Cricetulus griseus: one gene and its partners. The protein of the gene in region 1 interacts with the protein of each later gene in a pairwise test. Links are inferred from orthologs where the notes say so. Each region holds a gene or a part of one and is shown in the gene's direction. Other genes may lie near its edges.

Region 1 (3,976 bases):
AGTAGTCTGCTTTTAGCTTTCTGACACACTTCCGTGCTGGTTTCCATAATGGCACACTGGTTTCCGTTCTTACCAACAAAATGTAAGGAGGAACAAACCTTTGATAACCCAACAGCATGAGTAGATGGCAAAATCATTATTCCGAGTAAGATAATCCAGACAGAATATACATGATTCCATTTAAATATAACTCTAGAAGAGAGCAGTGGTTGCATGGCTACTGAGACGTGTAAGGGCTACAGCAGACTTTGAGTGGTGATAGTATGTTCATCTTGATTGCATTGATGGCTTCCCAGTTGCATACACATGTCAAATGGTAATTGCATACTCCAAATATTGCAGCATCATATACCAAAGTGGTTTTCAAAAGCAAAAATAAAGATTGGAGAAAGGAGGGCTTGCTACTGGGGTTTATGCTGGTAATAAGCATTACTGAAAACCCAACCTTTGACATAGTTATGGACAGTGCATCTTAAAATTACTCCCAGGGTACTTTTTAAAGCAAAGGGGTCCTTGTAAATCTTACTTTGAGTGTATCTTTTTTTATGGTTCCTATTGCTATATTGTCTCCTTAAAGATGTTCATTGGGTCTTCTGAGATAATGACAGCATTATTCCATATCTGAGACAGGAGTGACTGCCATGTTGTATTGCTCTCACTCTGCCATGAAGGGTAGAGGGTGGATGGGCTAGCAGACCACAACTACATTTTAGTGCACACACAGTTTGGTGCACTTGTTGAATCATATCCCATGATTCATATTTAGTCTAAACGTCTTTACCAAATGTCAACTTGGGAACTTATGTGTACTTCATTCAAATACTTCAAAATTATTTGTTCCATTTTGACACAAATCTCAGTTAGTAATTAGACTTTTATACATACAAGTTGTATTTTAGCCTCCTAATGAAACCAAAACCACCCAGTGTTAAGGTGTTCCATTAAAAGATAAAGAGGTGCCATGAGTGGAAGGAAAGCAATAGGCCTCAGCTTTCCAGATGTTTCTGACTTTGTTATGCCAACCCGGAATGACTGTGCCACTGAGCAATCCTGTTCCCCTCTGCCAGGCTCCTGGCTTGAGGACCTAGGAGCTATGATGGTCCTCCTTACCTTCTCTGTCACTTACGGGGTACTGACCCAGCCTTTCTTTCTTCCAGGGTTTGAACGGCATGTCTGTGGATGAGAAGCCTGACTCCCCCATGTATGTGTATGAGTCCACAGTCCACTGTGCCAACATCCTCCTCGGCCTCAATGACCAACGGAAAAAGGACATTCTCTGTGATGTGACTCTGATTGTGGAGAGGAAGGAGTTCCGAGCCCACCGGGCCGTGCTGGCTGCATGCAGTGAATACTTCTGGCAGGCACTGGTTGGACAGACGAAAGATGACTTGGTGGTCAGCTTGCCCGAAGAGGTACAGTTGCTTGGTGTATTTGTGTGATTGTTACAGGGGGTTTATTGACTTATTTTTCAAAGATGGCAAAGGAAGAGGTAGAGTTACATGTGCACTGTGCCACATTGATGTCCACGTCATCCACACGTTGACTTGTAGCATATTCAGTTTCTATTTGATACACTTGAGGCCTCAGAAGCATGAATACAAAGTGAGTGTGCTTCTTTAAGAGAACTGAACGTCACATGGGGCCCAGGCCCTCGAAGTTTCTAGTTCACTTAACCTTCGGGTTTTGAGTAGTTCAGCCTCGGTCTGGTGTAGTTCTCTATGTAGGATTTGAATCAATGCTGTTTCTTCTCTCTTTCAAATGGATCTTTAGATTTCCCCTAAGAATAAAATAGCAAAAGAATTCACAGGACCTTCCTTGCTTAGGGAAAAAAAAAAGCAACCAACAGTTCTCACCATTAATGCAGTAAAATTCTAAGAAGTATAAATTTGCTTTTCTCATCAGCATTGAAAATATCCCCTATTCAGGTTTCTTATCTACCTCGGTGAAGACAGTCATTTTTGTACTTTGGGGACATGAATAGCTGGGCTTACTCTGTGTAGACAATGACAGTCGTTTGAGAGGTAGGGGACCCAGAAGATGGGCTTCACAGTGGTGAACTATTAAATTGTCCACTCTTCAAATTCTTTGATTACTCAGTCATTCTGAGTCCCCATACTTTTAGAAGACTGGGGATAATGCTAAGCACCCTCAGGCTTTGCGTGTGGAACAGTCTTCTCTGTATAGCACCAGCATGGTGTACAACTCCAGAGCCCGAGCAGCCATTTGCAAGCTCTGCACCACACAAACTGCAGAGATGCAACTCAAACTCACATCCAGGTCCTCATGCCTGAGACCCAGGAGTACCTCCTCCACTTTGTGGCTTCTTCACAGCAGTCTCATGAGACGTCAAAGACCCAAAACACAAGGAGTTAAAGATGATAACTACCCCTAGGTTCCATATTCACAATCTAGATGCCTTCAGACATACCACAAAGGTATTAATGTCTGTAATTATATGTAAAACAGTAGGGAGTGGTGGGATGAGCACCTGCACCACCAGAACTCATCCAAATCTAACATGGAAGAAACAGAAAGGATGGAGAGTTGGCTCAGTGGTGGAGCACTTACCTCGCATGTTCAGTCTGCAGCAGTTAGAAACAAGATTCGTGGGGTGGGTGGAAGGGACACCAGATTTCAGTCCCTTGCTGGACAGTGTTTGTGACTACCTGCACAGAGGAGAAGAATGGCCAGCTGGTGAAGAGCATAAGTTTGAAATATCTTCACATAGGCATCTTTTCATAGACATCATAGCTCCGTTTCCATTTCTTGTACAGTCTTGTGAGAAGGAAGAGAATAAACCATTCTAAGATGAAGTAACCAGGGTCAAGTCAGGGAGCAGACTGTTAGGTACTAGGTAACAAGAGAAGACAGAACAATGACAGCTGACATGGTCCTGAGCAGGGTCACCATTTCCCAGTTGCACTGCATGGAGGTGTAGCAGTCAGTGAGTTGCTACTAGTGTTAGCTGAGATCATAAATGTAAATGCTTTAAATCCAGACCATCCTGTAGCAGGCCAATTGTCAGACGTAAGTCTTTCTTCTCCAGATGGGAACAAGAACATCTTCCTTGCTTACTCAACTCAACAGTTCTCTGGAACTATTTACAAAACTTCCAGTAATTCAAAGTGGTCTCAGGAGGTGATGTTCAATTATTCATTTATTAGTGTTTTCTGTCTGAGAACCAGTGTGTGTGTGTGTGTGTGTGTGTGTGTGTGTGTGTGTGTGTGTGTGTGTGTGTGTGTGTTACTCTTTTCCAAAATTATATACTAAAATACATACACAAATAAAAATCTTACTTTCTGTAGTGAGGCTTTCCTCAATGACTGTGTTAGCCCCACCTCATATTTCCTAGGATATAAGCCCTTAAGCCCAGCCTGTTCCCAATTCTAACTTGAATCCTGGTCTTCTTAATCTCTCTGAGCCAGGTTCTTACTTCTAAGAACTTTTAAGAATATCTGAAGCCTTTAAATTATTTATCAAAATTTAATACCTGTTCAGTAAAATATAAAGGAAGCCAAGCTATAAACAAATGTTACAAAACCTGGAGTTTCTTCTCCAGTCAAACCCTTAATACAAATGCTTCTTTCCATGGCATTTCTCAGATCTATTCAGAGTACGAGGACACCGACTACAGCCTTGGACAGCCAATAAAAGTCTACTTAACCTTTTGAGTTGTATTAATTAAGAGGGAATTGGCTATGTTTTGGTCTTGTTGCTTCTGGCCCTATAAGGTGACTTTTGTCCATATAGTTTCTATGTCATCTGTGTGTTACTCAGCTTTTTGTCACTGGAAAAAAAATCACCGAGACAAACAACTTAAAGGCAGAAGAATTCTTTTGGTTCACTGTATCAGACCATAATCCCTTAGTACTGTAGTTTCTAGGCCAGAGGTAACACAGAGCACTATGACAGAAGAGAGTAGAGTTGGTAGCCTCATAATTACCAGGAAACAGAAAGAGCAGACAAAGAATCAGGC
Region 2 (3,997 bases), on another chromosome or scaffold:
GTGCCAGTCGGGCGTTTGGGGGCGCGGGCCGGGGTGTGGGCTGGGCCTTCCCAGCTCTCTGACCCACTCGGGAACGAGGGGGCATCGCAACAGGATGCGGTAAGAAGCTCCGCAACCGTGTCACATCATCAGCACGGCGGGCGGGGGCCCCGCGTGGCGCGGCGACTCCGGGAGGCAGAGGCGGGGGCATCGCCCGGAACCCCAAGCCAGGGTGCGCTCGCTGTCCCGAGAAAACCCCGCGTGCCGGTGGACGCGGCAACACGGGCAAACCTGCCCTCCGACCTCGGCCCGAGCAGGCGAGGAGACCCGGGGGGAACCGGAGCCACCGGTGTCCGCGCCGCGGAGAGCTCGGCACGCGGAGGGCGCCGCGCGAGTCCCGCGAGACGTCCGCTGGGCGCGGCGGGTTGCCGGGACGACGGCGCCGGGCTGCGCAGGCGTGCTGGGGCGCGCTCGCCTCGCCGTCGCCGCGCCTTTCCCTTTAAGCTCGGGCCGGCCGCGTCGCCGCTTCATGAATGGAGCCCACGTGACCAAACATCATGTGACGTCTGAGGAGCGGCGGCGGCGGCGGCGGCGGCGGCGGCGGTGGCGGATTCTGACCCGGTCCGGCCCGGCCTTCCCAGCGCGCTCGGCCCGGCCCGCGCGAGCGCCCAGTCGCCCCAAGCCCGCGGCCCGGACCCTTCGCGCCCGCCCCAGCCCCGCGCAGCCTCGGAGCGCGCGCGGCCCCGCCCCAGCCCCGCCTCGGCCCGCCGGGGCCCGCAGTGTGGTGAGTGCGGGGGCTGGGGCGGGCGGGCGAGCGGCGGGCGGGCGGCGGGGCGGGGCCTGGCCTCGGGGCTGCGGCGCACCGTGCGACGGCGGCGCGGGCCCCGGTTTCTGCGCCAGGCGGTCGGAAGCCGGCGGCTCGCCGGTGCCACCCCCGGGCTGTGGGCCGGGCGAGGCGAGGCTGGGAGCGCCGGGCGTGCGCGCGACGGACCCCCGGGCGCCCCGCGGGGGGCGCGATTAAAGGGCGAGGTCGGCGCGTCTGCCCGGGTCAGCGGGGCGGCCGCACCGAGCTGCTGACTCATCAGGTGTCTGTCGGCTTCCGCGCGGGCGGGGCCGGGCGGGCAGGGGCAGGGGCGGCGGCGGCGGCGGGGAGACCCCGCTGAGCGGCTTGGGCTCGCCACGCGCGTGCGAGCCCAGCGGAGACGTGCTGAGTCATCAGCATGAGGTCACTCGGTGCTCCTGCTGACGCGGGCCCGGGGCGGGGGGCCCAGGCCGGCTCTCGGGCAGTCCGAGCGGGCGGCAGGGCTCGATCCGGGCGGCGAAGGTCGGGCCAGGAGCCGGGGGTCGTGTTTAAGTTTATCGGACCTGTGAGTTGGAGGCAAAGGCCTCGAGGGACGCATCACCGGGGTGCGCCGCGGGTTCCTCGCGGGGTGGAAGGTAGAGCCCCGGGCTTACGCATCCCCCTAGGCTCTGGGGCTCCTGGTCCAGCTCCCCAAACTGGGAGACCGATCGGAGTACGCTGAGGGGAGGAGCCTAGGTGGGCCGAGCCCGCTTGTCTGGGAAGGAGGCTTTCCTTCTGAGTGACCCTGGCTGGCCGGGCGGCGTCGGCCTTGCACCGAAAAGACCGGGAGTCAGGACAGAAGGGTTGTGTGGCTTGAGGAAGCCGGGGCAGCTCTGCCAGCTAATGGGAGGGAAGCGTGGATGGTACCCGGTGGAAGTTTTGAGGTGCGAGCATGGAGTGGAGAACGTAGTTCTTTCTCATTTACCTCTCCTTTATCCCTGTCAGAAGAGTTTGGGGTCCCACTGTCGCCCGAAGTTAGCAAAAAGTGTGTGTGCCCTGTTGGGAGGCTGACCTGATGACAGCCTGTGTGGGGTGTGGCCCCCACCTTTGCATGGCTGCGTGGATGTTTACTGATTTCTCTTGCTGTGAAGGGTCCCGAGCTCTATTCCGCATTGCTTTCCTTGCCCGGGGTTTCATGGCTAGCTTAAGCTGACCTTGGGGTTAGGCTTAGAGACTTCCCATCCGCACTTACTACACTGAGCCCTGAGAATGCTCGTAGGTGCCAGGTGTTTCGTTTAGGGTGGAACTTTGTGCCCTATGAAAATTCAAGATCCCAGAGAGGTGTTTAAACTTTGGAGTCACTATGCTTCTGTGACATTTAAGTTGTTTTCAAATACTGTCAGTATCTGGGGTAGGGGAGACCTGAGTTTGGGCCTCGTGCACTGGAGTTTGCCCGAAAGGTTGAGGAAGGGCCACTGTCTTGCTTGAGACTAGTGTCCAGATGTCTGCTCTGAGAGTATTTGGAGGAGAGCAGAGCTGGGGGGCAAGCTGGCCTTGAGCAGCTTCTCTGAGCAGCTTCCTCAGGCTCTGAACTATACCTCAGGACAGCTGTCCCCCAAAGCTGTCTGCCTTGTCACCGTGTGACCCTAGGTTGGCAGGAGCTAGGCAGGCAGCTGGAAACACTAGCTTTGCTGAGACCTGCTCTCCCTCCCCGCTTAAGCATGCACAAGCACGGGCGAGCACACACACACACCTTTCACACACACACACACACACACCTTACACACACACACACACCTTACACACACACACACCTTTCACACACACACCTTACACACACACACACCTTACACACACACACCTTACACACACACACACCTTACACACACACACCTTACACACACACACACACCTTACACACACACCTTTCACACACACACACCTTACACACACACACACCTTACACACACACACACCTTACACACACACCTTTCACACACACACACACCTTTCACACACACCTTTCACACACACACACCTTTCACACACACACCTTTCACACACACACACACACCTTTCACACTCACACACACACACACACACACCTTACACACACACACACACACACACACACCTTTGACCAGGAGGCAGTTGGCTGCACTTGTGCTGATCAGGCCTTCAGCAGAGGGGAAAATCTGTTGAGGAGGCACTTTTCAGCTCCCAGCTACCACACACTGCACTTCCCTGTGCAATCGCGGGAAGTCTGCAGTCTGTGTGAAAAAAGCTCCTGCTAGGGCTGCCTCTCTCACCTTTTCTTGTGCTCCTGGTGTGAGCCGGGGGCCACCTTCTAAGAAAGGCAGCTCCTCTTCAGACCCCTAGCCCTGACTTCTTTCTCTTTGATCTAACGGGACTCTTGCCTCTGAAAATGCTCTTAATCTGGCCCTGGAGAAGTGTCTCCAGCTTCTGTGCTTAGCACGTCCTGTGCAAGACTGAGAGTAGTAGGGTCTTTGCTCAGATGAGAACAGGAGCCTCTACCTCCCTGGCTCACACTTTAGTTCTTTTGATAAGTGTTAAGAAGCACCCCCCCACTCCCCACCCCCACTCCTCACCCCCACCCCCCACCCCCACCCCCCACCCCCCACCCCGACACATTGTTGCCTAAAGTGCTTACAGCCTTCAGCCTCCCCTGGAAGACACTGCAACAACCTCTCCTGCAGTTCCTTCCATTTCCCTGCATCTGTAGCCATGGTGCTGGGCTAAGTGGGGGATTCCCAGCCTGGGTATACAAAAATGTTCTTGGCAAGGCTTTAGAAATCAGAAATTTTAAAAAGTGCCAGAGGGTAGCTGACCGTAGAAGGTAGCTGTTGTGCTTTTGTTCCCTGGCCCTGTGGTCACTGACCCTAGGCAGAGAGCCAGAGACTAGCCAGTGACCCAAAAGGGGCTGGCTCTTGCCTGTTACCAGCTAACAGTGCCCTCCCTCTGTTAATTGTGGGGGCCCTTGTGAAACACCCAGTATCGGGTGGGGCAGGAGCACAGGATGCCGCAACCAAGCCACAGGATGGTTACTCCATCTGTTAAGGAGGTGGACAGGGAGGACTGGAGGGGCCTGGGCTCAGCTCCTCCCAGCTGGATTGCCTGCTACCTGGAAGGTGAGAGGATTCCCAGTCAGCACAGTTAGAGCAAACCTGGTTGGTCCTCTGCCAAAATGAGGCAGGAAGCAGCCTCCTAAGTCCTAGA
Region 3 (4,234 bases), on another chromosome or scaffold:
TATGCTGGGTACTCTGTATACTGTGTGAGATATAATTGTCTCTGTCTTTCTCTGTCTCTCTCTGTCTCTCTGTCTCTCTCTCTCACACACACAATGTTGTTGATGGAAGGGGGTCAAAACTGAAATATACGCAGAACACCCAGTATGGAAAGGCTCTGCCGGTTGGTTGGTTGAGGCACGTAGACACTGTCCACCCTCCAACCTACTGACACTTAGACACCCCGACTCCTCTTGTGCCTGAAGCCAGGCAGCCAGGTTCAACAAGCTCCCCTCTTAAATCCTGGAAGAGAGCCGTGCACACGGGGTTGGGACTCAGAAAGGCCACCTCCCATACTGCCCAGAGACCAGAAGGCCAAAACGAAAACCCCAGGAAGGCCCCTCTTGTCTGGTTCCCACCCGCCTCCCCAGCTCATGGTTAGCTATCGTCCCCTGTGTGCACACCACAAACCTGCAACCGCTAGTTTTTGTTTTTTGTTTTTTTGTTTTTCTTTGCTGGGCACGGTCATCTTGACTTCGCAATTTTAAAACTGCCAGGCAGGTGAAGGGGGCGCTCTGCCTCTACATGGTCTGGCAGGAGCACTGCAGCCGCATGTCTCAGTCCTTAGCCAGGTGCCACCTTAATCTTGAAGAAGCAAACTGGTCCACGGAACCTTAGAGTGCTCTGCCCAGATCCCCGAATGAGTGACGACGGCGGACGTCTAGCGTGGCAGACACGGACGCCTTTCGTGGTTTCTGCTCACAGCCTCCTCTTGCCCTCCCCCCGCCCCCCCATCAGAGTTCACCCTCGGAGTCACCCCGCCCCCTCCCTGCCCCTTCCTCCCGCCGGACCGGACGACGCCCTGGTAGAGAAGCCCGAGGGCGCCCGCCCGCTGCCCCCTGGCGCCTCTGGGCTGCAGGGGGAGTGAGCGTGGTCCAGCTGCAGCCTCTCCCGGAAGAGAGTCCCCCATTGCCGGCGACCCGCGCTGGGACAGGGAAGCCACCAACCCAAGCCTCGGGTGCTTCTCACCCGAGCTCCTTGAGAGTGGCTGGAGGACCCCGAAGGCTGTGCCGGGCCAGCACCCCGTCCCCACCCACCGGGCCTCTCCCCCAGTGGGTGGGCTTCGGGGCTGCCACGTGACTTCCACGAAGCACAGGGCCCCTAGCGGAAAACAGTGACTTAGGTGGGATCCTGGACCCCGAGGTGAGGTGTGGCGAGAAGGCGGGGAGAGGAGGAAGCGGGGCGGGGTGGGAGCAGGGGGCGGGGACCGGACGGGACAGGACCGGACGGGACGCGCGGGGCGGGGAGGCGGGCGAGCGGGCGAGCCGAGCCGGGAGAGCGGGAAGCAGCGGGGTGGGGCGGGGCGGCAGGTGCGGGGATGCGGGCGGAGCGCGGGTAGCAGAACCCCGCGTTCAGGGCGCCCCGTGTGGTGAGCGCGCGGCATGTCGCAAGGGCCCCCGGCGGGCAGCGTCCTGCAGAGGAGTGTGGCAGCGCCTGGGAACCAGCCGCAGGTAGTGGGCGCGGAGGCCGGGTGAGGGGAGGGGAGTACAGGGTGGGGGCACCGCCCGACGTGCGTCCCAGCCGCGCGCCTCCCTCGGGCGCCTGGAAGGATGCAGTCCGTCCCGACTCGCCCGCCTGCCCGCGCCGGACACGTGGGTCTGCGCGCTGCTGGGGGCCACTGCGTCCTTGCCCACTGCCCACGCTGGAGGGAGAGGGCCGATACTGGGAATTCAGCCCAAAGGGGCGGTTCGTCCCTGCATCCAACCCACCCGCTAAGGTCAGCACGGGGACCGTGGGACAGGTCAGCCTGCCGGTGTGGGGTTGTGCCTCTAGTGGGTAGACTCCACCCCCCAGCACAGGTGGAAACTCCTCGCCCCTATCCGATCAGCCCCCTCTGCTGTCCCCAACTTTCACAGCTGCACCACAAAGAAGCTGAGACAGCTGTCGGAACCCTTCTTGGTTAAAACAATTAGCTGGTTTTCTCTTAGTCCCGCACTCCCAATTCTATCCATGCTTGACATGTAGTGTCCTGGGGTTACTCCGAAGTCTGAGCCGCGTAGGTACCATTTGCTTCGCCTCTCTGAGCCTCAGTTTCCCTATCTATAAGTTGAACCCTGTAGCATCAACTCCTGAGGATTTTTTTTTTGCACAGATTATTTGAGCTGTGCAGGACTTGTATCTCCGCGCAAGATTTCTGCCGAGTGGGCAGGTGTGATCATCTGTGACAGGTGATAGGTCCAGTTTACAGGGACAGATCCCGAGGACAGGAGGCATGCTGTCCCTTGCCCTGAGACTTGTTGGCTTTGGAGAATAAAGAGGTCAAAATCTGTGCGTTACAGGCCAGCCTCAACAGCCGAGACCGACCACTGTTGAGGGCAGCTGTCCCTAAGGACTAACAGAGTTCTGAGTACATGACAGGTTCCTAGTTAATGTACACATTGGAAGGATGGGTGAATTGCGTTTATAGTAGGATCTGTGAGGGTATAATGCTGAAGTTCTGTCGTTAATACTGCCTGTCCGCCTGGATGTTTATCAAGGCTCTTAGGATTGCTGGACATAGTGATGAAGGCCTATAATCCCAGAGCTAGGGAGGCAGGGGGAAGGGGGTTGTTCAGAGCCAACCTGGGTTACATGAAATTCTGTTTAGAGAGAGAGAGAGAGAGAGAGAGAGAGAGGGAGAGGGAGAGGGAGAGAGAGGGAGAGGGAGACTTCTAGAAGACACATTTTGGCACCCTTCTTTGTTCTGCTGAACAGAGTCTCCATGTCACTCCCCTTGTTGTGCAAGTTGTCTATTCTTACCTGTGCTGGGGTTACACCCTGAGCCTATTCTAAGTTCCCTCCCCTTCTAGACGCCTTTTGGACTTAAATCTTGAAGGTTTTTTTTTTTTTTTTTCGATCCCTCAATGGTTCCAATGCATTTCTGGAAAGCAAACTTTTTCCACTGAATAAGTTTTTCTGCCTGCCCACTTCATGCCACCTTATGAAGAATTTTTGGATATTTGGTTAAGAACTTTCAAGATACATCACAAATTTGCATTTGGAATAACCCTGACCTCTGAAAGAAAATGTCAGCCAAGCATTGTTTAAGTGAGCATGTCGTCATTGGCGTTCTACGCACTGGTAGAATTATGTGGCTGCAATTAGTAATAAATGCATGATTATGGTCTGCACGGTTTTAAAAGGTCTTGCCAGTGTGCGGTGGTGTAAAGACGGTGCCCAGCAAGTTTCAGAGGGCAGACACCCCGCCTTTCCCACTCTCAGAGGAGCAGTGACACTACAGCTCTTCCAGGCAAACGCCCTGTGGGGCAGAGGTTTGCGAGCGAACGTTGGTTTGGAGACCAGCAGACCTGAGTTCCACTTCCCGCTCACCCCACGCTGGCCATGATACCTGGAGAACTTCCCTAACCTGAGTTTCTTATTCCTGTCTCTTGGTATTTTTGTTTTTTTGTGGTACTGGGTATGGAACGCAGGGCCTCACGTATCCCACACAAACGTGACACCACTAGGCTGCACCCAGGCCTCTTATTCCTCATTTAAAAATGACAGTCTCAGTGCATATTTCTCAGGATGGGGGGTGGAGATGAACATAAAGCGAAGCCCCAGGACGGACGGGGCGCCTCTTAACAAGGGCCAGCAGCAGCTGGCTAGCGGTACAGGGGGTACCGTCGGTGGAGCTCTGTGAGCAAAGCTGAGAGGACTGAACATTGTGTCTTCTCCACATGTCCCAGAGCCCCGAGGATGATGACAGGAAGGTTCGGAGGAGAGAGAAAAACCGGGTTGCTGCTCAGAGAAGCCGGAAGAAGCAGACCCAGAAAGCTGACAAGCTCCATGAGGTGAGACTGTGGTCAGGGCAGGACTGCCACAGGGACAGCCGTCCTGTGCCCCGGGGAGGGGGCCGGGTGATGATGTCACCATGCTCATCACAACTCTGTATCCTGCCGGGTCTTTCCAGCCTGTTGGTTTGCTTCTTTGTTCACAGGCCTCTTCCCTTCAAGCCAGCCTCTGGGTGCTTCCCACATTGCATTTGCTGTCACTAAAGAATCAAACAAAAGCTGAGCGTGGTGGCATACACCTGTCCTCAGCACTCGGTGGAGGCAGGAGGATACCCAGTTTGAGGCTGGTTTGAACTAGGGAAAGACTGTCTCAAGAAATGACAATAATAATAGTAAAAAGTAAAAAGTAAAGCATTGGGGAAGCCTTTCGGTAGAGTGCTTGCCTGGTACACACACAGATGTCCTGGGTAAAGACTGAATCCCC

What was found.
Region 2: the proteins of Bach2 (region 1) and Mafg interact in binary tests that used the Homo sapiens proteins (3 or more experiments, as listed by UniProt). The link is inferred for Cricetulus griseus from reciprocal best matches to the Homo sapiens genes BACH2 and MAFG.
Region 3: the proteins of Bach2 (region 1) and Batf3 interact in binary tests that used the Homo sapiens proteins (3 or more experiments, as listed by UniProt). The link is inferred for Cricetulus griseus from reciprocal best matches to the Homo sapiens genes BACH2 and BATF3.

Annotation. Positions count from the first base shown.
Region 1 is NC_048595.1:109,565,022-109,568,997, reverse strand, and holds the start of Bach2 (transcription regulator protein BACH2), read left to right. Parts: upstream 1-1,163; 5' UTR 1,164-1,169; coding exon 1,170-1,412; intron 1,413-3,976. UniProt on the Homo sapiens protein: Transcriptional regulator that acts as a repressor or activator. Binds to Maf recognition elements (MARE). Plays an important role in coordinating transcription activation and repression by MAFK.
Region 2 is NC_048600.1:133,125,051-133,129,047, reverse strand, and holds the start of Mafg (transcription factor MafG), read left to right. Parts: upstream 1-1,181; 5' UTR 1,182-1,199; coding exon 1,200-1,346; intron 1,347-3,417; exon of another isoform or gene 3,418-3,909; intron 3,910-3,965; exon of another isoform or gene 3,966-3,997. UniProt on the Homo sapiens protein: Since they lack a putative transactivation domain, the small Mafs behave as transcriptional repressors when they dimerize among themselves.
Region 3 is NC_048598.1:3,926,071-3,930,304, reverse strand, and holds the start of Batf3 (basic leucine zipper transcriptional factor ATF-like 3), read left to right. Parts: upstream 1-1,419; coding exon 1,420-1,508; intron 1,509-3,707; coding exon 3,708-3,810; intron 3,811-4,234. UniProt on the Homo sapiens protein: AP-1 family transcription factor that controls the differentiation of CD8(+) thymic conventional dendritic cells in the immune system.